4 linked regions of the Schizosaccharomyces pombe genome follow. Each later gene encodes a partner of the first gene's protein in a complex. Each region holds a gene or a part of one and is shown on either strand. Other genes may lie near its edges.

Region 1 (5,499 bases):
AAAATGTTACTGTGGGCCAGGCCTATTGTGAACTTCATAAAATACCTTACATAGAGGCAACTCCGCCACTTTTACGGGAAGAGCTTGTTAATTATCAATCTTAATTTTTCGTCTCCGGATAGAGTTTGTTCATGATTGCTTTTTTAATGAATAATATTGACAAGACTCGGATAGTTTTGTTAATCGTGTTTTACTTTACTACTAATCTATGGAATATTTTGAAAATAACATAATTTAATTTATACATTTCACGGCCTTAATCATCCTTTATTGGTTTATCATATTGAATAGTTGGTTTAGTAATAGAGGTACTAAAAGTCAAGCGTTAATTGTCCGAAGTATGCATTATAAATTCTAATTCCAAATGAGAATATTTCATAACCCATTCATTTGTATTAAACGTGACAGTAAATAAGAATTTATTTAGTCTTTATACATATGCCATCAATCTTCATAAAAACGTACTGGAGTTTAAATTTTAAAACGTGGTTATTACCCTTGCTTAAAAAACATTCTTTTTTTATTTAAGGAAATAAGTGTTGTGGCATTTAGTTTTCATATGCAATTAATAGGTTTTCAATCCCAAATTGCGTTGTCTACTAATTAAACGTCGTAACTACTTCTTTCTCGAATGGAATCGTAAATGAGTGAAGCACAATTAAAAACTTCCTTGGAGGCTTTAAGTCAAAATTTATTACCTGGAAACCAAAATCATTGCAGTTTCGACTTCCAATTGAAGGAAATTGACGATTCAATTAAACAGGTGATAAAATGTGCTCTAGTTGCTGCTGAGATAAAAAATAATGAGGTATGTGTACCATTATTACGAAAGATAATGGAAAAAATTAATATGAATTGCTTTTAAAACTCGAAAGTGGTGTTATGTCGAGATACAGTTTTTTAAAAAGAAGTTCGCTGTACAAATATACATACAAAAACATTGTTTAACTAATATTTTTCTTCCTCTTATTTCCGGCTATTGAGAGAGAGCCTAAAATAGACATAATATGACATGCTGCTTACTTTATGACTTCTGACTAACACTTGCCTTTTAGTGTTTGGACATGCTTGATAGCGGGATCCGAGAGCTGTTGGATGCAAAGCAGAGATTGTTATTGATGCAGCAATCGGTGGATACATTGGCTAACAAAACCAGTGAAAATATAAGTGATTTTGAAGTACGTACCACGGAAATGACTTTCCTACTTTTTCTATTATATGTAGATGAAGTAAAAACATCAATTTAGACGTATTTTTTTACTGTTTCATATTCAATTGTTCTAACAAAATTAGAATAAAAGTTTGTTGGATATTTATACACAAATTTTTAAGGAACTCATTCAAGAATACGAAGAAAAATCCGACTATGGTAAATATGGCACACAAGGAGAATACATTGAATTTAAAAAAACCATATGGCATGAGCAAAATACAGACGGTTCTGACTTTCCTTCTATGAAAACATTTTTTAATGTCATGAACACTGAAGAACAGGAAGCAGATGAAGTGATGGTATATTCAGCTACCTTTGATAACAGATGCCCTTTAACTTTACAACCAATTGTTCACCCAATATTATCGACAGCCTGTAATCATTTTTATGAAAAAGATGCTATTTTGTCTCTGTTAAATCCAACTTGTGTATGCCCTGTTGTAGGATGTGAAGCTCGTTTACAAAGGTCTTTACTTAAGGAAGATGAGATTCTTGAACGCAGATTACGCCGCGCTCAGGAAATAAGTAATTTAAAAGAAGCTTAGTCCTTTTCTATTTACATTGTAGTACTGATCCGGATTTATTATTATTATTATTATTATTATATTTAATGTATTTGTTTATTCCAACTTGTAAATATGCATAACATGTCTCTTTTGACTAATATTCTATGCTCGTACGGAAGCTTCAATTTTGGCATTTAATTATGAAGATAGTTAAATCTAATATAAGATCTACTTGATTGTAACCTTATGATAAACTTTGGCTCATGCTTGACTTTGACACTAGCCATTAACATACCATGTCCTCAGAAAATATGGATATTACTGAAAACATACAAAATGAGCAAAATAAAGATTTTGATGATATAGATTTTGAAAGAAGGCGTCGTCTTTTGACCTTACAAATTTCAAAAAGTATGAATGAAGTTGTGAATCTTATGTCAGCTCTAAATAAAAATCTTGAAAGCATTAACGGTGTTGGAAAGGAATTTGAAAATGTCGCGTCTCTTTGGAAGGAGTTTCAAAATTCAGTGTTACAGAAGAAAGATCGTGAAATGCTAGATGCACCTTGATGGTCGTTCTTTTCTAAATGTATTTTCATTGCCGCTAAACATATGCCTTAACGCAGTTTGTTTCAAAGAATTTGCATATTAAATTAAATTATTAGTTATTATATGTTTTTTATGAATCTATAAATTTAATAGCGTCCTCAAAAATTGGTCAAAGGTCAGGATTCTTTTAAATTAACTTACATATTACAATACACAAACCTTAAGTCACTTCATTAATAATGTGTTTGTATATATATATTAGTTTTTAATCTTCCTATATTCTTCTAAAAGCTGCCAATTTTTAAATAAGCCGTTCATCGTCTGAGAGGCAGAACAACTGTTGATGTTAATATTTGCATAGTAAACTTTTTCTTTACTACTATACGAATCCTTTTAGAAATTACCATTTTAATGGTATTATTTAAATTATAAAAGGGGTTTAATGCAGTTTAGCATAATAAAAAGGTAAAAGGAATCATAAGTATTCATTTCAATATCTTCTATATAACTATCGTTTTATTCACGACATGAATACCCTGAACCAGTCAGGGTTAAAAAACCGATTTTCAAAGTTTCGGACAAATATAGGCATATTTGAAGTAAAAGTAAAAAAAAACATTAAGACCAATTGATTTTTGCTGACATATATTCAGAATCAAACAGATAACGTCTTAATAAACAAATTATAAATCACAAAATAGCTCCAATAGTCGATAATCCATCTAAACCATATTGGCTAGTTAAATACCTGAAAAGATAAAAAGTTGAGATAGGAGCAAAATTCTGAAAAGGAAACTGCTACACAATATGCTTAGATTAAAAGAAAGCATACAAGCATAATGTCTCTATTGCAGCAAACGTTTGGAGTATTGGTTTATATGCAATTAGCAATGTTAGAATGCGTAAATAAAGCGTTTTTCTTGCTTCTTATGTTCCAACAATCTCATCAAATGCTATACAAATAGGCGAAGCAAAAATGAAGACATCAAAAATGGTAAGATTAAGTAAATAAAGGCCATGATCAAGATATTATAAAATCACGCAAGACTTTTTAGAAAACGAAAATGATTTTTTTATAGTGAGGCCAACAGCAAGTTGAAAAACTTCATTTACACCAGTGTTTTCTTTGGCAGAGCATTCGACATATGGAGCGTTCATTGATAAAGCAACGGATTGAGCCTAAATATGTTAAAAAAAATAAACGAAAGAAAAAAGTTAGCTTATCATTGACATACTTGTTGGTAGGTTACTGGTGTTAAACCCTGGGTTCTTAGTACTTCAGTAGCATTCCTATCTTTGCGTAAATCCGCTTTTAGCCCGACGAGAACGATGGGAGTTCTAGGGCAAAAGTGTTGAACTTCAGGATACCACTGAAAGAAAAATGTTAGAAAATAATATGAGAAAGATGAAATACTAATGGCTAGACGCAAATGACATTGAAGAAACCCAAAGCTACGTTTAGCAATATAAATTATAGAGCACATACCTTCTCCGTAACGTTATTCAGAGAAGCCGGACAATCAATTGAGAAACACAACAAAATAACGTTGCTATTCGGGTAACTTAGAGGACGTAAACGATCATATTCCTCCTGACCAGCAGTATCCCACAAAGCAAGTTCAATAACTTTGCTGTTCGGTCCATATGTTATATCGGTGATATAATTTTCAAACACTGTAGGCACATATCTCTAGCATGATGTTAGAAATCAGTATACTTAGATAATTCAAGTGAACTGAGTACATGAATCATATGAACACTGCACTTAAACAGTTATTGTTCGATCTATTGGCATACCTCGGGAAAAGTTCCGCTTGAGAATACAATTAAAAGACATGTCTTTCCTATACATCAAGCATTAGTACATTAGACCAGCTGTCATTCACCTATATTTATCAAGCATACCACAACCGCCATCTCCTACGACCACAAGTTTCTTTGAAGTCTCTGAAAAATTAGCAAAAACTTTAAGATATTTGAGAAAAAGGAACAATTGAATTACCTGACTTGGATCCACTCTTTTTGAAAGCAGACATATTGCCTTTGTTGTTGTTAATGTTTGCTTACCAGCTGAGATTGCTGGTATTTCCAAGCTAAACATTGCCATGACAACGCAGCACGTAAACAATAGGTAAATAAATATATAAAACAGTAAACGGAATATCCGCGATGAAACATATTTAAATTTATCAAGTGTGCATGGAATTTACGAAGGACTATGCCGGTTAATTGTTTTAATTGAAAAAGTTAGGTTGTTAGCCACCAAAAAAATTATAGGTATATATACCTGTCTATTTTTATTTTTAGGATTCAATGGACATTGCAAAGTTGTCAATTGTTGAGTCTGCCTAATAAAAGATGCTCGGTGTATTCATTATCATTCATATAATCCAAACGTTCTGTTTTCAACTAGTTCTACAAGCCTACATTTCAGGTTGCTAGAAACGTGTACATTAGTTAGATAAAAATACCTAACGAAATTGAAATATTTACCGCCAAAAGTATATATGGCAGGCTAGTCTAACACCTCATCGTTAAGTTGGCGACTCAATAAGTGAATTCATCAGCTTATACTAATTAATAAAGTAACGGGTTTTGGGAACTAAATTATTGAAGTAAAAATACATAATAATTAATTGATTATTCTACTTGGCCTTGAAGTACCATAACCAAAAAATTAACTCCCAAGGCGAGACTCGAACTCGCAACCTTCTGATGACCATCATAAGAGTCAGACGCTCTAAACCGATTGAGCCACTCGGGACTTGCTTGTACTTTAACGGATTAAATCTAATTTACGCATTTTCTTTAATTCACTTAAATAAGTAAGAAATGAGAATGAATAATAAAAATAATGTTCTGGCTATTTATTAGCAACATTCTAATAACTTTTGAATGTAATGTTAGCCCTTAAAATTTATAGATTACTGTTAGGTTTTGAAAATTTTTGTAAGTATGGGAAGTCATCATACGCGCAAAGGTAACAGCGTTTTGTTTGAAGAAGGAAACAATTCATGTATACTCGGATTTATTGCTGTTTTGTTTATACTCAACGCAACGCCCATGCTTAGAAGGTTGACAAGGAAAATTAATCAAACGGTTCTTGAGGGCTTGGTGATTGATTTGAAAGTTTGAAGGAAATGATTCATAGGCCTTAAGTATAGTTTGCTATTCCAAAACCTGTATACTGTCTACTAGAAAGAACGAGTAGTCTGTTTAGCTTTTCAGTTTG
Region 2 (5,447 bases), on another chromosome or scaffold:
GCATTCAGGTGCTGAGAAAGACAAAACGTATGGAAGATCGTTAAACGAAGTAAGAAAAGAGAAGAAGAGAAAAGTGATGATTTGCAAAGGCTTCTCTAATGTTTCTTTTAGTATGGATACCTCAATAGAAAAAGTCAAAGACCCAAAAAAAAAATAAAATAAAGGTCCTTCTGATGAACAACAAAAACTTTTTTTTACCTCTATTCTTTTGCTCGATAACAAATGGAATGCTTTAGATTTCGAAAGACTTTTATTAATCATGTTATCAAGTGTTCCTCCATCATCATCTTCCTTGTATACGGATATGTCGAGGAATGTAATAGACTGGGCCAACTAAGCAAGTCATGTTTGATAGGCGATTTCTCAGCCAAAGTGGGTAGACTGTATTTGTATGGTTTTGATCATTTTTGGTACTAGTCAGTTTCATGTAAAGTTTGGATTTAATTATTGGGTTTGACTCAAATCTCAATTTCATATTTGTGTTAATGTTAGTTTCATTCATATACTTTCGTCAGCATTTGTTTATGAAATTTCATGTTTCTTTTGCGAGCTCTTTTACTACTGCCCCATCTAGTCTGCATCCGTTCTCATTATCAAGAAATACTGCGGTACTGGTGCGAGGGTAGATGATTATCAAGGTAGGATGAAAATCCGCTCCACAAAGTTGTTAGTGATAAGTGGTAAAAGACGGTATGTGTTTGAGGTAACCATAATCGCCAAGATAGACAAGATGCAAGTGGAGCATTGTCGGCGTTAAAGTTAGTATTTTGATTTGTTTGAGCTATCAACATGAGTAAGTGTGCGGCGGCAGGCGAGTCGCAAAAGGAAAAAAAAAAGCCTTCATTTAGTTATCAGAGCATCGCCGACGTATACCTTTTTTCCATTGATAAATTTGTGTTAGTCAGTGCAGTTGTTCAACACAATCGGTCCTCCGTTTATCGGTAGCTCTTTTTTGCACTTTGACAAAGCACAAAATTCGTTTACATGCAATCATCTATTACGGATGTAAATGTCCGTCATAATCAAAGGAATGCCAACAACGCCAAGTGAAAGCGAGATGAGTTGGGAAAATAGGATCGCAATTTGACATTCCTACGTCTTCCTACGTCTTTCTTGGAATGAAGTAATCAACTCTTCGTAAATTAGCAGGGACGAGGAAAATATGCGACTGTTATCATTTTTAGCGCAATAAGGATAAGAAATGAGTGATTTAGGAAATAAGCAACTGGGAGATATCCATTATCACTTCCATAAGCGATAATGATAAACCGCAGGAAAAACACGTGTGAGCATGAAAAAGGGTATATATACATAGACGGAAAGGGGCTTCATCTTTTCTTTTTCTTTTGTTAGGGGCGTGGTGAATGGAAGTATTTCTTTGTTTTATGGGGAAGCGTACAAAATTGTGAAACGAAACGATGTATGTGTATGGAGTGTAGGAGTCATTCATTTTCATGAAAGAAACTATAATAAAAATGGGGTATATGATTAGAAAGGGATGAGTGAATGTTTGAAAAAATTACTTATAAAATGGTAATGAATATGATTAGAAAAAGCGGTATGAGGAAGCATGGTTACTAAATGAACCAACTTGATTATATAAAAAAAAAGAAACAAATTAAAAACTAATTTTCATCTAACTCAGGAATTCCTCCTTTGAAAATAGCCAAACATTAACTAAAAAAATTAAAAAAAAAAAAAGTAGAAAAAAAATGTAAATATTACAAATACTTCCCAAACTCCCATAAAGCATTCTATGACGATTTCCTTACACCAAGCAATTTTCCTGTTGGATTTTATTTGTCTCGACTGGTTTGTGTATCCCTGTTTCCTTTCTTTTGTTTCCAAGAGAATCATTTCCAGGGAATTGATACATTTGTCCATGCTAAGATAAAATCCATTGTTCGGTCAACTCACTTCCGATATATCTGAAACGAAAAAACAAAACCTGATTAGAAAAGCTATATGTTTTCACATATAAGAAGACTATATGTCAAACCCCATCCTAGCGTCGATATGAAATGGAACTCTGTGAAATGATAGATGTGGGGGACCTAAAAGATAAACCCCAGTGTAGTGAAATCTCGATGCTTTTGAAACTGAATAAAACCCGAGGATATTAAGACAAGTAGTTTATTAAAAAAAAAGGTTTTCCGATCGTAGTTGAGTAAAGTTTGAAAATTCAAACAATAATTAAAACAACGGATGCACATCACGCTGCTGCGTCTTCTCTTGCACGGACATTGACTTCCGTATGTAATTTGTCTAACGATCGTGCTCTTTCCATTTCTTTTTTCCTTTAAAATACTCATTTGCCTATCTTCCTCATAAGATGCCTAGCATGTCGAGCTTACGGAGAATTTTTATTTCCTTTGATTTGGACAAAGCACCTCATCCAACATGATTGTGATCGGAGCTTTGGAGCACTTTTCATCAGTTCCGTCTTCATCCTCCTTCTACACTTCCATGGAAATTATGCAAAACTTGATAATTCCATCCTTACCAATAATTTTGCCTATTTCCACGGAACTGACCCGAAAAATTTAGCAAAAGGAACGATTTCGGTATTACTTATTAGCTTGGAAATTATGTCTCGCTAAACCATATAACGAAAGTTTGGTTTTTTATCAGTAAGCGAAAAATTTACCGTCCCCCTTTTCCTTCTTGTCAGCTACATAAAAGATAGGTGCGCTGCGCTGGTCGCCTTTTTCTGCCACTCTTTCCACGCTATTTTACGCTCTTATTCATTTTTGAGGAATACTAACGTCGGCCGGTATTGTTGGAAATCGCTGCAATTTGTTAAATTGAAATACCACTCAAGTGGGTAATGGTCTCCTTTAATTGTCGATACTGAAGGTTGATTGCATTTTAGTGCGGTGTCTTAAAAGCTGCACTCGCCCATCACACACGCGTTTGGTTTGTTTACCTTCCATCTACCTGTCTGCCTTCTTTCACTTTCACCTTACACCATGCGTCGTTCTACCATTGTGCCAACTAGTCGAACAAGCAGTTCATCTCCATCTCCCAGTCAAATGAAAAGCTTTCAAATGAATCGTTTGGTGGACCAACTGTCCAAGTTGCAATCCAACATGTCTCATTTGGAAAACCACTTACATGTTACCGCAATTCAAGCAGAAGCCATCCGACGTCTTGGTGCTCTTCAGGCCTCGCTTCTGATGGCGTCTGGTCGCGTTATGTCCGAAGCGAGGATTCAAAAGTCTTCAGATGCTGTGGAAGAAGACGTTCCTATGTGAGTCTCCAACTTTTTTGATGCAGACCTCAAATGACAATGATAAAAAGGAGAATACAAGAGACAAAGTGCCCCAATGAAGGAGAAATATAACAGGAAAGGAAGTAGGAATGTGCTCTTTCTTAATTAGATGGGGCTATTTCTTATTTTACTGCAACAATGCGGTATTTGGGGCTTCTTTCAATATGTGGGTGTTGGAGTTGTATCAACTATGCATCCGGAATACGGCTTTTCGGCATTTTACGCTATGGGAGTTTTGCGACTCTCGGGCTGCACTCCCGAAACCTATGTTACTGCATTGTACGATGCAGTTCTGTAAAAAATAGCAGGCTAAAAGAGGGTGTTCTAGTTCGTCTAATAAGTGATCTCGTTCATTGGTCAGCTCGGTCGGCTAAGTAACCAAGGGAAACTGCAAAAATTGGATACCAGAAATGATTGGTCAATTGCGCTTCACAAAACAGTCAGTGTACCAATCATATGGTTTTTATTTGAGATAGCGCACAATCATTGGATAGCTAGCTAAAAAAAGGTAAAAGTGGTTCCTTTCGTTAGGCTTCTTTATTTTCACCTTACGATTTACCGAAGAGAGCTTCTTCGACCTCGCTTAGATGGGTGTGAACAACGCCGTCCCTTTGCCAACCTCAACGAAAAAAGAAAAGCAGGTTGTACTAATTTTAAACGTTTCAAACGATTTTGTAAATTGATTTCTTTAAGCTTTGGCTCCTCCTTATTACATACCTAATCAATAAATATCTGTTTTCTTTTGCAGTTTCTTCTTTTTTTGCTCTCTTCCAGGGAAAACGGAAATTTGATTTGAGGAAGCCATAGCGCCACCATTCCCCAATCTGTCTACAAATTACTTTTTTTTGTTCCACCACACCTCTGGATTGTATTCTAGCTTATATCTGTTTTATTTTTCTATATTTGTTTTGGTATTTTAGTTCGTTTTTGTTGTTTTATTTCCCCTTTTTAGATCGTTTTTGTTTTGGGGTTCACGTCTTTTTTGTTTAAAGTACCTGTTCATATCAAAGCAACTTGAACTTCTTGCTATTTTTACCTTCGCTCGTGTGGTTTGCACAATCATTTCAAAGTAGTACCTAACTAAACAACGTTGTTGGTGTGTCTTGGTATTCACTGCCATTTCGTGTTTTCCATTTAAAGAAGCTTTCTTGGTCCTAGCTTAAGATTTCCTGTTTTTTTATATCTTACCTTATATTATTATTTTTTTGTGATTTTTTACTACAACTTTTTTTTTGTTTAACGTTTGAGAGGCGATCTCTTTCGTTCATTTCATTCGTTTATTTTTTGTTTCGGTTTTTTATTCGGAAACTTCCCTTTTTCTTTCTTATCCACATTTCAAGCTGGCTGAAGTTACTGATTTTTTGGGTATCATTTTTGGATATATCCCTGCTTTGTGATTAAACATTTTTTGCATAAAACCTTACTTATGGATCTAAAGTTTTCCAATTTTTTCAAGGAAGCGGAACATCCAGCACTTGTCAAAAAATTTGACAAATCTACCACGGACGAATCTTCCTCCAAAGAAGATTATTCCACGATGTCAGACCTCTGGAAAATGTTTTCCAAGGCAAAGTCGGAACTGTCTAATGGTCGTCGTGTCGAGAACTTGACATGGCGTTTAATGTCTATAAATTTGCAAAAGAACTTAACACCAAATGGTGATTCAAATACTTTAACCCCAGACACTTTCTCTGATCCCACTGCCCCTTCTAGTGCTCAATCCGTTCCTCCTACTTCTTCTGCTGAAACCACTGCCGATAACTCAGATACTGAAATGAAATTAAACCCAATACCTGCATATAGCGTACCTGCTGATACCACTGGAAGCTCGTTGATGGAATTTAATTATATTCAGCGTCGCGTGCGTAAAACAAGCTTTGACGAGTCTACTGCAAAAAGTAAAAAGCGCTCTATTGCCGATTCTCATTTTCCAGATCCCAATGCTATGCAAAGACCCCATGATTTGGAATCCCAACCATTTAGCTACCCAAAGATTCATGCTTCTAATTCTTTTAATTTCGTTAAGAGAGACATTGACAGCTCTAATTTTTCTAATCTTGACGCCTCAGCATTGCCTATATCTCCTCCTTCTGACTTTTTTAGTGTTCATTCTCACAATTTGCCTAATGCTCCCCCTTCCATTCCCGCTAATTCTAATAATTCTGCTTCTCCTAAT
Region 3 (5,964 bases), 580 kb from region 1:
TCCCCTTTCGTTAGCTTGATAATGCACGCATTGGCTGGTCTTTTTATCTATCACGAAAACAGAACTCTCTGTACGGGCGCGTGTACGATGAAATGGACTTGCTTCTCGTACAACCATTGTCATAATAGCATTTTTATCATCTTCACGGCGCTTCCGATGTTCTTTCAAAACTTCGTTTAGAGGCACATTGGATACCACATCGCCTGATACGAGTATGAAATCGGAGGTAATTAGCTGTTTTGAATCGAGCTCTCTTAAAGCATCACCAACCGACAGAGATTCTCTTGACACAATCGTGTTTACACTAAAGGGGGAAGAGGGAAGATTCCACTTTGACTTTCTGTGGGTTATATTGTGTTAGTTATATCGTATCAGAAATTCGAATTTAAGACCTCAATTTAGCACATACTCTATATATTCTCGAATTTGTCCTGCATGGGCACAGCAAAATACATAAACTTCTTGCACCCCGGCCAATGCCAAAAACTCAAAAGTGTACTCTATTAAAGGGGTATTTGCTAAAGGAAGAAGACACTAATAATATTAGTACTTAAAGTGTACACTGGTAATTGCATACGCGAGGTTTATCTAATGTAAGAGGGCGAAACCGATAATTATAAGAATCCGACAAAACAATCGCTAAAAATTAGTAACAAACACTTTTTGAATCCCAAAAACATTACCTTGCAGAGCGTGTTTTGGCTTTTCTAGCTTGCCATTCAGCCCTTTGGATGGAGGCATTTCGACAATGTAGAGGGATTAGACATATTTCTCAATATCATTTAAGCCCAAACAGTCATTTAAGGATGCCGTGCTCCACTGCCTTATAACTTAAAGATTATTCTAAACAATTCATCAACTAGAGACTAAAAAGGAATTTATAAAGACGTTAATAATCAAAGAGTAATTAAATTTAGGATATTAAATTTGCATAGCTCATTTCTTTTATAGTTTATTGGCGAAAGAAAGTGGTTTTATTTAAGTAACCACAAAAATTCCACATAATAAACAGAAGATATAAACGGTGATTTATCCTGTTAAGTTGGTAAATTTTGTCAATTTGTTTTCTACAATTGGGTAGTGGTTGCAAACATTTTACTAATCTTATGGTAGTTTATCGAGATTTGAATACAGGTTTCAAGTGTTTACACGGTAATCAAAAAGAAACATAATAAATAAAACTTCATAATAATTATTATTACTGATATAAAGTGGATGGTAGAAATCGATTCGTCAATTAGGGACGATACGAATTGTTGATGAAAAGCAACCACGTGAATAAATATACTAAGTGTAGCATTAAAAGTTATGAATAGAAAAAGAGAAAATTAATAAATAATAGACAATTGGGGAGAAGATATTGGGGATGCTCTTCATTTGATTCGTTCACTCAATGCATAAGGCGTAAAGAAATTAATAGCAAGGATATTCATGCTTGATCAATTAACAAACGTAATCTTCCGGAATTGAGAAGAAGTATTAAAAATTAGCTGATGATAGAAAGCTATACATCACAAATGGGAGGGAAGAGTCCTACGGCTCGAATTTCTGGTAAACTCGATATTCATTGATTGAACATGCAAATCAACGAGTTAACTTGAATTAAGAATAATAATCAATGCATAGAGTCAGCATAAAATTGTCTTTGGTTGAATAAATTAGTCATAAAGAAAGCACGGTAAAATATTAATCTTGATATAAATATAAAACTTGGGCTGATGCACATTTCCGAGTCCATCTTTTATTTTCTTTTTTCTTTTCATTCGTTAGTTGATATTACTCCAATACCCAGAGCTCGATGTCCACGATTTGGATTCGTTGGTCAGGACAGCCACGATAGCTCAAAGGATTGTTTTCGAATGCAGGAGTACGACTAGAGTAAGCGTACTCTAGAGAGCCATCAAGCCAAAGGCTGTATCTTCCATTACCCCCACCAAATGCCAAAAAGCTTTTGGTGCAATATGCAACAAAATTGGAATTTCCTACGAAAGGGTAATGTACATACTTTTTGGGAGGAAAATATTTCCACAAGAAGGTTTCCTCGGAACCAAAGTAATGAGGTGCAGGAATTAAATAATCAGGGATAAAAACTCCAAAAACATCGCCGTCTGTATCGCGCACAGCTAAAATGCAAGCCCCTTTAGGATGGCCGCTTCGAGCTTTTTCCTTTTCGCAGGCTAAGTACATTGTTTGAAGAGATGCGCCGTCATGTTGCAACGAATAGATTCGTTTCCAAGTTTCAGCAGAAGCATATCTTGCTGGCAAGTTCTCAACGATGTGACTGGCCAATTCATCTGTTATTAAGCCGTCTTTAACACTATACTGTCTTGTAAAGTTAAACATTTCAATTGATACAAAATACTTGCTAAAATTTTGTACTCTTATGGTGTGTGTAGTTAGAAAGATTAAGGTGATCCACTAGCCTTATGTAATAAGTAAACAAATAAATAATTGTGAATACAATAACAAACACTGAAATAAACAACAGTAAGTGTATTCTTTAATTTTCCAAAGAAGAAGTTTTTCTTAATAAAGGTATTCTTATTGATCCTTTTTTATTGTTTTTTTTGAGAAATCGAGTAAATAATTTTTTTGGCGTAATGTGTGATTGTTAAGGTGGAGCAGCAGCCTTGGTATTAGCAATTAAAACATTCGTTCAAATTCTATCATTCAGTAACAACAAAAAATAATTATAGTTGACGAGTCAATAGAAACACTATGAACCTGACTTTTACTCTATATTAATAATCAAATATAGAATAAATACATAGTGTTCCATTACTTGCTATCATACTATGCTATTGAACTTTTATTTATATCTTAAATAAAATCTTTTAGAACTTTTAAGAACAAGTATGTACTTATGTTTGTATAAATATTAAGAACTCATTACAACAAATGAGTCCAATGCAAAAGCTGGCGTTGAGCCAGTAATCTAATTGCCGTCTTTAACTTATCATGAACATTATTGTATTTTTCACATACTATTCTATAAATGAGAATATTACAAAAACAATGAGTTATTATGCTCCTGAGTTGTAATGTACTTAGTTTGCTAATTATCTTCGTTCAATATCTTTGCCGCTTTAGAGAATTCCTGGAGCAAACAGTCCAAAGATTCTCTTCTCTTCTCTTTATGTTTTTCATATTCTAGGTATTCATAATCCTCTAGCTCTTTTGTAGCCTTCAAAGTAACAGTAGACGAACTTGCTTTTTTCTTAGCAAGCGACATTTCAATATGCTTTTTAAAGGATGATATATCAAAACATCGACTTCTTTTTTTCCTCTTCAGCTTCATCAGTTTGTATTGGGAGTAAGCCGATCGATCATCTGACGTCGAAGGATAACTGCAATCAGAAATATCTCGGGTGCTTCTTTGAGGATGTAACTTCAAAGGAATGAGTCCATGGTCTTTTATATCCTCGCTTAAATACATTTCTTGTTCTTTGCTCAAATCCATGATAAAACAACGACCTCGCTTCTCCTTTTCTAAATGTTCACCAATACGAAAAGTCGATCTGACTACCAACGCAAATAGCCTTCCTAAGATTGTATCAGTTGCTTCACTTTTTCAATTTCTCTTTCAAGTCTTTGGATTTCAGAAGTTTCACGCTGTAGAATATTCTCCCTAGCAGACACCTGATCGGTTTGTCGTTTTTCAAGTTGCTGCAATTGCTCTTTCTGTTCCAGTAAAACGTTTTCCAAATTCTCAATTCCTGACATATGTAAGTTGTATTTCTCAACCAGAGTCTCCAAATATTCACGGCCACCTTGCATAGGATATATATCTAGTAGTTCCTCAATACAAGCAACGTAGTCTGCAGGGTTTTCTGATGCCAACCTTTCACTCCAATCCTTCGGTAGAGATTTGAACTCAGCTGCAATTAGTTCTTCCTTCTGAGTATCGCGAATTAAATCAGTTATAGCATGAGTATGTAGCACCGCGTCTGTGAAACGTGCTGCGTTTGGGTTTTCCGGTTCCAAAAGTTTTTCTGATGTAGCAGCAATAGACTGTAAATAATTCAACAAATCAGACATTTATTTAATAAGTCATCAAAAACACTAATTCGACTCGTAATTAGTAAAAGGTATGTTTCAATTCACTTTACCAGAGTTGCCAAAAGTGTATGCAATCTCTGGGTGTGTGCAGGTGGTTTAACCAAAACGTAATAAACGTTTGGTATCTTTGATATAATGGAAATCACCTGTGCCTGTTTTTGAAATTCTGTTCTCGCTCAGCAAATTATTTTAACAAAGGTAAAGCATTGCGTTCATTCCTTGCTATTTTCCTTTATTTGCTACACCGAATCATTCTTACGTTTACGCTTTAGGCACACATTTCTTCAGCTCAGATTATCCATTAATAATTATATGTAAAACTTTTATAAAGGTTAATACACGCTAAAAATTTCGTAATCCTCAGTGCAGTTTTGATGAGTTTGCAATTGTTGGACTCTACTTCGCAATCGTGATCTAATCAAAATCTACAACTTTCTAAGTCTGCCAGATTTATAGAACTAAAGGTTTGAGAATTATCCTTCTCTTAGTTCTTTTATTCATATATACCATCTATTAAAAAGTTGCCTCTTTGGAGGCTATTTGAGGTTTTTCTGACTGAACGTTTCGTCTGTTTTTCATATTCTATCAGCCAAGTTTATTCTATTTAAATATAGATTTAAAAACTTTAATTATCTTAAATAGAAGAGCAGTATATTGGGTATAACTAACAGCTTGAAGCTCTGACATCTTAAAGTGTTGTATTAATAAAAATGCTAGAACGATGTCCCTGGAAATTAATCAGCTCGCCAAGAAATATTCCAGCTCGCTCTTTTCTTAATTCTCGTGGAACTTATCTTGTTTTAAGAAAGTCAAATATATTACCTCTTCAACATATACTGCGGTTTTCCAATTTTGCATCTAAGCAATGTTTCCCACTTAGAAATGGAAATAATTCGGCTTCAAAAGCGTTATGGAATAACAAATCAAAAGAAAAAGAGCCACTGAATACTTCTGTTAAACTTGCTTCCGATGTACCAGATGATAAAAATGTAACAGGACAAATGATTGTTAAGGACATGCTTCAATATATTTGGCCCAAGGGGAAGACTAATTTGAAAGTTAGAGTTGTTTCGGCTCTCGCACTACTTGTAGCTGCCAAAATTCTTAACGTCCAAGTTCCTTTTTACTTTAAATCAATTATCGATACCATGAATACAACACTTGTTCAAGAAGTAGGAGCATTGTGGTCTACTGTAGGAGCTGTTGTTCTCGGTTATGGCTTTGCTAGAATATTTTCTACCGTTTTTCAAGAGTTAAGGAATAGCGTTTTTGCAATTGTGTCGCAAAGCGCTATTCGAAGTGTTTCTAGCAATGTCTATCAACATCTGTTGAACCTTGACATGAATTTTCATCTCTCAAAGCAAACAGGAAGTATTACTAGAGCAATGGATCGTGGTACAAAAGGTATTAGTTTCATTCTTTCCTCCATGGTGTTACACATCATTCCTATTACCCTTGAAATTGCTATGGTGAGTGGTATTCTCACTTACAAGTACGGACCTTCGTTTTCGGCCATTGCTGCTACAACCGTTGCTCTTTATGCTCTTTTTACTGTTAGGACGACATCCTGGAGAACTGTATTCCGTCGTCAAGCAAATGCTGCTGACAGTAAAGCATCAGCCGCGGCAATTGAATCTCTGATTAATTATGAAGCCGTTAAAACTTTTAATAACGAATCATACGAAATGAGCAGATATGAAAAGCATCTTTCCGCCTACGAAAAAGCCAACGTTAAGGTAGCATCTTCTTTGGCCTTTTTGAATTCAGGACAGGCTATTATATTCTCTACCGCTCTTACTTTGATGATGTACATGGGTTGTCGTGGAATTGTAACTTCCAACCTTACTGTAGGTGACCTTGTCATGATTAACCAATTAGTATTTCAGTTGTCAATTCCTCTTAACT
Region 4 (5,757 bases), 2.1 Mb from region 1:
TCCGAACTAGTAGCAAATTCTTCATTTAATTCAGTTATTGCCGTTTGTCTGTCAGATGATTGTGTCTGCAATGAATCAACCACTGAACCGTACAAGGACATAGCATCCTCCCTTGCTGAGGCTAACTTATCGGTAATATCTTTAAGACGATCTTGTACTTCTGTCAATCGAGCGTTGACTTGGTTGGCATCCATCTCGTGTTTTTCAAGTTTGTATTTCGCTTCTATGACATTAAGTCTACTTCCCAACATCTTCTCGAAATTATTCGTAGCTTTAATTGAATTCTCCTTAACTTTTAACACCGAATTCATAAGAGCTTCGAAGTTCTCTTTCCTGATATCTTCATTTTTTTCAATTTCAGCTGCAAATTGCTCAGGAACTTTCTCTCTTTGTCTTAGTAGAAGAGTTTGGTGTTCTATTCTTTCTTGTAATTGTTGCCATTCGTGAATAGGAATTAATTTTTCGTCACGCTCTTTTCGTAGAGTAGATAATATATCGTTTGTACGAGAAAGCAGCGATTCGTGCTCATTTACCTTTTCTTGTAACTTTCTTTCCTCATTCTGTAAATTTTCCAATTGAGAGAGTTGAGCATTTAGTTGCTCCTCCTTTCGCTTTACCAAATCCATCTCAACGTTCTCGGAAAAATATATACTGCGAGAAGGTAATGGGTCTGTTCGCCTAGTAATTTCTCTATCACCGTAAGCTGAACGAAAAACCAAGTGGATAGATGAGCCCGCCAAGTAAGTTTTAAGAACTGGATCCCCGTTAGCCAGACGAAAATTGTTTAACGCATTCACTGATGCGGGAGGTAGTTCCCTTTTTGCAATCGGAATTTGATGAATTTTTAACATATGGCACAAAGCAACCAAAACCACTTCTGGCCCCTCTAAAAAATCGATCACATATCCGTCAAACCCGAAAGACTGAAGCTTCTCACGAGAGCATGGAGGTTCAAAATCTTCTATCTTCTTTTTTCGTTCACTGGAGAATTCTCTTATAGTAGGAGTGTACTTAGTTTTTGAAGTGATAAGATCCATTAACTTTAGATAATCATTATAATTTGACATTATAAATGTTCGAAACGTATCCGTGCGAAAAAACCCTTCTATCAAAGCTGCAAACCCTTTTTCCTTACATTTCAAATTCATATAAATTGGGCCGTATGCGGGTGCTTCAAACGCAGATTCGTATTCCTTCAATAACTGATACGTCTGATAAGCATCTTCCCAGCCTGGAGCAGAAGACATAAAGTCTAGTTTCCTTTTCGTAGCATCGTTGTAGTAGGACAACTCTCTTTTAATGTTATCAAGGTCAATAAGCTTTTGTGCTTTCAATGTTCTGATACTACCTAGTTCATGAGAGCTCTCAAGTTTCTCGTTTTCATGTTGAAGTTTTTCCGCATTAACTTCTTGCATCTTTTCTTGTAGATCTTGAACACCGTTATCCGAAGGTCTTGGGCCTTGTCTTTCTGTTAATGACTTCACCGATTGTTGTGCTTCATTTAATGTAAGATTTGCATTCCGTAAAAGTGTTCGATTGGTATTAACCTTCTCATAAAGCTTTTTCTCGTTCTCCATGAAATTCGAAAAAGAAGCTCTGGCTCTTAAATTTGAGGTATTAAGTTCCATCGAAGCGGAGGAGTAATCGTTAAATGTATCATCTTTTAGTTTTAAATCCGAACGCAGCTCTTCACCTTTATCCAAAATAGGTTGAAATTCTTCCACTAGGTCTTTCAAATCCTTTTTTAATTTTTTTTTGTCTGCACGAAGTTGGTTAAAGACATTGGTTTTCTCTCTGTATATAACTAACATTTTAGCTAACCCTAGCATTTCGATGTATGATTTGATTTTTTCCCGTTCTTTAAATATATTGACTTCCTTCTCTAGTGCCTGTTGTCTATCTTTTAATGAATTTAATGTTGATTGTCCTTGGTTTTTATTTTGTAAAATTTCCCTTTCTCGTTTTCGTAAATCAATAAGCTTCTCATGTGCGGGAAGTAACCCTTCATGGTCAATTGCACGCTCAGTTTCCATCAGTCTAGAATAAGGATCAAGCTGAGCGAATTCTGCAACACGGTCTTGTGGTAAAAAATGACAAAGATTATTCAATTGTACATTGAAAGTATCCATTAGAGACGTTATTGAAGAAGTGGCACATGCTTCCCTATTAATAGAGAAAGAACTACTCTTATCCTGGCTTATTTGTCTCGTGATAGTAACCGTTTCATCGTCACGATACTTCATTTCAATTTCTATGGTTGCAGTGTTTTTGCCATACTTTATAAATTCACGGGCCTCTTTAGCTCTCCCAAGTAGCTAAATCGTTAATCAATTAAGTTATTTTTTATAATATTGAAAGACTTACTTTTGGGGGCCATCCCAGCCCAATGCATATTGCTGAAACAATTGTGCTCTTACCTGTCCCATTTGGACCGATAATCAAATTTAGATATGGACCAGGGAACAGTTCACAATAATCGTATGTAACAAAGTTCACTAATTTAATTCGTACAATACTTCCTAACGCGTAACTCTCGCGTGTTAAGATCATCGAAGTATAAAAAGCAGAAATACTAAATAGAAAAAAGCTATAACTTACTCTGAATACAAAGGATTACTTTTTCTTCGTTTCGAAGGCCTAAGGCCATCCATGGTGGAAGTAAGGAGGATTTCAGTCAACTAGGAGTTTGCTGAGAGCAAAGTGCTTATGCAAGGCAAGGTACAATGAGTTTAGAGGAAAAAAGAGCTCTCCAGAATCAAATTTTAGCTGAATATGCTAATCTTGCATCAAATTTAGAAACAGTAAGTCTTTTTTATTCAGCAGTTGGTTAATATTTAGCTTGTTAAGGTGTTACAGGACATGGTTTATAATCCCAGCAACAATATTCTGGACTCGCTAAGGGATTTAGAAAAGGAGGTTGGACTTGTATATACTCTTTACAAAGCTAGTGTTTGGGCGATTTTGGCAGACCTAGAAAATAACCAAGAAGGTAAAAGCGGCATGTTTCAAGATGAAAGTTGATAACGTGCTTGTTTGAAATTGAAAATACGTCAAACCGAACTATAAATTAAGCTTTAACTCTACTGTTGGTGCTTTTCGTGTGGTTTACTATGAATATTTGGAACTGAATATTTACCGGATAATTTTTCAATCACTTTTACAGAGAAAAAAATACATCCTACTTGGAAGAGTAAAAACAGGCACAAGATATAAGCTTATGAAGGTTTTTAAAAAGCACTTTTCGGCTAAAATGTCCAAGAAACGAATATGGGTATTGTTTTTAAAAAGTTGGTTAGATCACTTTTAATCAATTATCCAAAACAACCCTTTGGAAGTAGTCCGGCCTTAAATATTTCTAAACTATTACCCCGGAAACACTGACCTAATGAATCTTCCGATTAATTGCCTGTTAACATTTTATTAGATCATGCTGGATTCGAAAGTGTTTTCAAGCTTTCCTAAAAGCGTTATGAAAATGGGGTTGCATGAGAATCTGCAATGTTGTAAGCTGTTGATTTCTTAATCAAATAATAAGTTTCCTTCCTTGTTTTTTTCTAACCGTAATGGTTATTCATACTCAAATTTCTTCGTTATGAAGAGCAACTTACAATTGGGACTCGTTTTTGTCCTCGGATCATTAAAGTGAATACAGCGAGAAATTTTCTTCTGCTTGCATTTGACTAAAAATCATTTAAATGCCAGCAACTCTCTTCGAGATTGAAATCCAAAGTTTCTTCTGTTTGTACTAATATGGATTCTCATAATTTACTATATTTGATAAGCAATGAGGTTCATATTTTATTAATATACTTAATAGTGTCAAGCCCAATCCTTCAAAATATTGGCAAGTGTATGTTTTGGCATTACCAAATGACTTTGGTTTATAGTGGTATAACGTAATAATAATGGGTATTGTCTTTATACCGTTATAGACACTGCTTTTACGTTTTGATAGGCGCGTCTTACAAAGTATATATATATTTATTGCTTACGCGCATCACCGTTTTGCAAAGTGTATATAAAAAAAAGCAAGAACTATGGACTTTTTATCACATGCCATGCTTAGTCGATCTGAATCAACGCAAATTCTTTGTGAATTGAGTCAAATAGACGAAAGTACTATGGATCCTCAATATACTGAAGATGATGTTCTCGCTCGATTGTTTGTTTTTTCATCATCTTCTCCACAAACAGGTGTGTTCTCTTGTTTCAATTGATTTTTGACATATATTAGTACTGAATGTTAAGAAATATGAAGACGTTTCTGTTGGAAGGAGTAATACATGCAATTATCAGCTTCTGCAATTCACTGCCAGTTATAAGCACTTTAGAGTGTATTCGGTGCTAATCGATGATGATATGGATCCCCTTGTTTATTGTGAAGATCAGAGCTCTAATGGAACATTCTTAAATCATCGTTTAATTGGTAAAGGCAATAGCGTCCTTTTATCGGATGGAGATATACTCGATGTTCGGCACTGCGCTTCCTTTCTTTTCCAGCAGAAATACACTACTGATAATGATTTTCATCACGAGTATGCGGGTGAGAGATTTAACATCACTCAAAGACTATTGGGAATTGGTGGCTTCTCGCGCATTTACATGGCAATGGATAATAACACTGGGGGACAATACGCGTGTAAAATCATCGACAAGAAAAAAATCTCAACGAAACGGTTTTTCGAGGACCACGAGATGACAATTCTTAGGAAACTTGATCATCCTAACATTATCAAAGTAAACATGGAGTATAATTCGGAAACTCAGTTGTAAGTAGATTGAATGCGGTTTGTTATTTTGATGATTAATATTCCTTAGTTTTATATTTGAGGAAATGGTGACGGGAGGAGATTTGTTCAGTTATTTAACGAAATTGGGAACGGTTCCTGAAGTTACCACTTTATTTATTATGTTTCAAATTCTACAAGGGCTAAAATATTTACATGAGCAGAATATAATTCACAGGGATTTAAAACTTGAAAATATTCTCATTGCGTCGTCCTCTGATACCATTTTTAGAATCATTTTAACCGATTTTGGTGTTGCAAGATGTATGCAGAAGGGAAAAAGACTTTCGACTTTCGTAGGCACTCCGGAATATACCGCCCCGGAAATCCAAAGATTAAAAGGAAGGTCTCAAGTGGAAAAGGAAAATTCTTCTGGTTACGGTAAAGAGGTCGATTTATGGAGCCTTGGAGTAATTATGTTTTTGCTGTTGTCAGGTAATTCACCATCATTTGCAGATGGAGTGAAAGAAAAACAAGTGGATTTTCGAGATCCTGTTTGGAAATCCGTCTCCAGGCAAGCCAAAGATCTGATATCAAATCTTTTAAAAACGAATCCCCCAGATCGGTTCACAGTCAAACAATGTCTTTCCCATCCCTGGTTCGCGCGACATAGTAGTCGTCTCACCAAATTATATGAAACTCGTATTCTCAAACCTCTTAAACATTCCCGGCTATAGCCACGTAAGAAAATATTCGATAAACTTGATAAAACGATCGAAGTTTCTCCACATAAAAGCTATGTGTCTGAACTATGTAATTCTAACATTACTTAATTAAGTTATTTTTAGCTATAAACTATAAAATATGAACACATTTAATCTTTAGAATTAATCAGGCAATCCAACTTACGCAATTAATATAAAGAAATTTTATTACTTAAGATATGAGTGACCATCAATTTGTCAGCCATTTTCCCTACCTTAAAAAAAAACAATTTTTAGTCTCAATCAGCGTAAATTTGGTATTTTAT

The links.
Region 2: dad1 (region 1) and dad5 share a complex: the UniProt entries of both Schizosaccharomyces pombe proteins name them as parts of the DASH complex.
Region 3: dad1 (region 1) and spc34 share a complex: the UniProt entries of both Schizosaccharomyces pombe proteins name them as parts of the DASH complex.
Region 4: dad1 (region 1) and dad3 share a complex: the UniProt entries of both Schizosaccharomyces pombe proteins name them as parts of the DASH complex.

Annotation. Positions count from the first base shown.
Region 1 is NC_003424.3:3,085,842-3,091,340, reverse strand, and holds dad1 (DASH complex subunit Dad1), read left to right. Parts: upstream 1-2,000; 5' UTR 2,001-2,015; coding exon 2,016-2,288; 3' UTR 2,289-2,557; downstream 2,558-5,499. Other genes in the region: taz1 (telomere length regulator), read left to right, coding at 1-104; Smc5-6 complex non-SMC SUMO ligase subunit Nse2, read left to right, coding at 644-808, 1,056-1,178, 1,294-1,758; Rho family GTPase Rho4, read right to left, coding at 3,297-3,446, 3,503-3,637, 3,754-3,957, 4,065-4,111, 4,173-4,214, 4,270-4,303. UniProt on the Schizosaccharomyces pombe protein: Component of the DASH complex that connects microtubules with kinetochores and couples microtubule depolymerisation to chromosome movement; it is involved in retrieving kinetochores to the spindle poles before their re-orientation on the spindle in early mitosis and allows microtubule depolymerization to pull chromosomes apart and resist detachment during anaphase.
Region 2 is NC_003421.2:1,668,128-1,673,574, reverse strand, and holds dad5 (DASH complex subunit Dad5), read left to right. Parts: upstream 1-2,712; 5' UTR 2,713-2,969; coding exon 2,970-3,254; 3' UTR 3,255-3,631; downstream 3,632-5,447. Other genes in the region: SPOM_SPCC417.03 (uncharacterized protein), read right to left, coding at 1,211-1,332, 1,524-1,572; DNA-binding transcription factor, nutrient sensing, zf-GATA-type Gaf1, read left to right, coding at 4,698-5,447. UniProt on the Schizosaccharomyces pombe protein: Component of the DASH complex that connects microtubules with kinetochores and couples microtubule depolymerisation to chromosome movement; it is involved in retrieving kinetochores to the spindle poles before their re-orientation on the spindle in early mitosis and allows microtubule depolymerization to pull chromosomes apart and resist detachment during anaphase.
Region 3 is NC_003424.3:3,670,757-3,676,720, forward strand, and holds spc34 (DASH complex subunit Spc34), read right to left. Parts: upstream 4,139-5,964; 5' UTR 4,039-4,138; coding exon 3,544-4,038; 3' UTR 2,943-3,543; downstream 1-2,942. Other genes in the region: translation initiation factor eIF2B epsilon subunit tif225, read right to left, coding at 1-340, 410-534, 578-639, 684-741; V-type ATPase inhibitor and disassembly protein in response to oxidative stress Oxr1, read right to left, coding at 1,777-2,343; ABC family Fe transporter Atm1, read left to right, coding at 4,770-5,964. UniProt on the Schizosaccharomyces pombe protein: Component of the DASH complex that connects microtubules with kinetochores and couples microtubule depolymerisation to chromosome movement; it is involved in retrieving kinetochores to the spindle poles before their re-orientation on the spindle in early mitosis and allows microtubule depolymerization to pull chromosomes apart and resist detachment during anaphase.
Region 4 is NC_003424.3:5,227,103-5,232,859, forward strand, and holds dad3 (DASH complex subunit Dad3), read left to right. Parts: upstream 1-2,696; 5' UTR 2,697-2,723; coding exon 2,724-2,801; intron 2,802-2,838; coding exon 2,839-3,021; 3' UTR 3,022-3,798; downstream 3,799-5,757. Other genes in the region: Smc5-6 complex SMC P-loop ATPase subunit Smc5, read right to left, coding at 1-2,315, 2,365-2,530, 2,599-2,651; mek1 (meiosis-specific serine/threonine protein kinase), read left to right, coding at 4,038-4,194, 4,235-4,769, 4,819-5,464. UniProt on the Schizosaccharomyces pombe protein: Component of the DASH complex that connects microtubules with kinetochores and couples microtubule depolymerisation to chromosome movement; it is involved in retrieving kinetochores to the spindle poles before their re-orientation on the spindle in early mitosis and allows microtubule depolymerization to pull chromosomes apart and resist detachment during anaphase.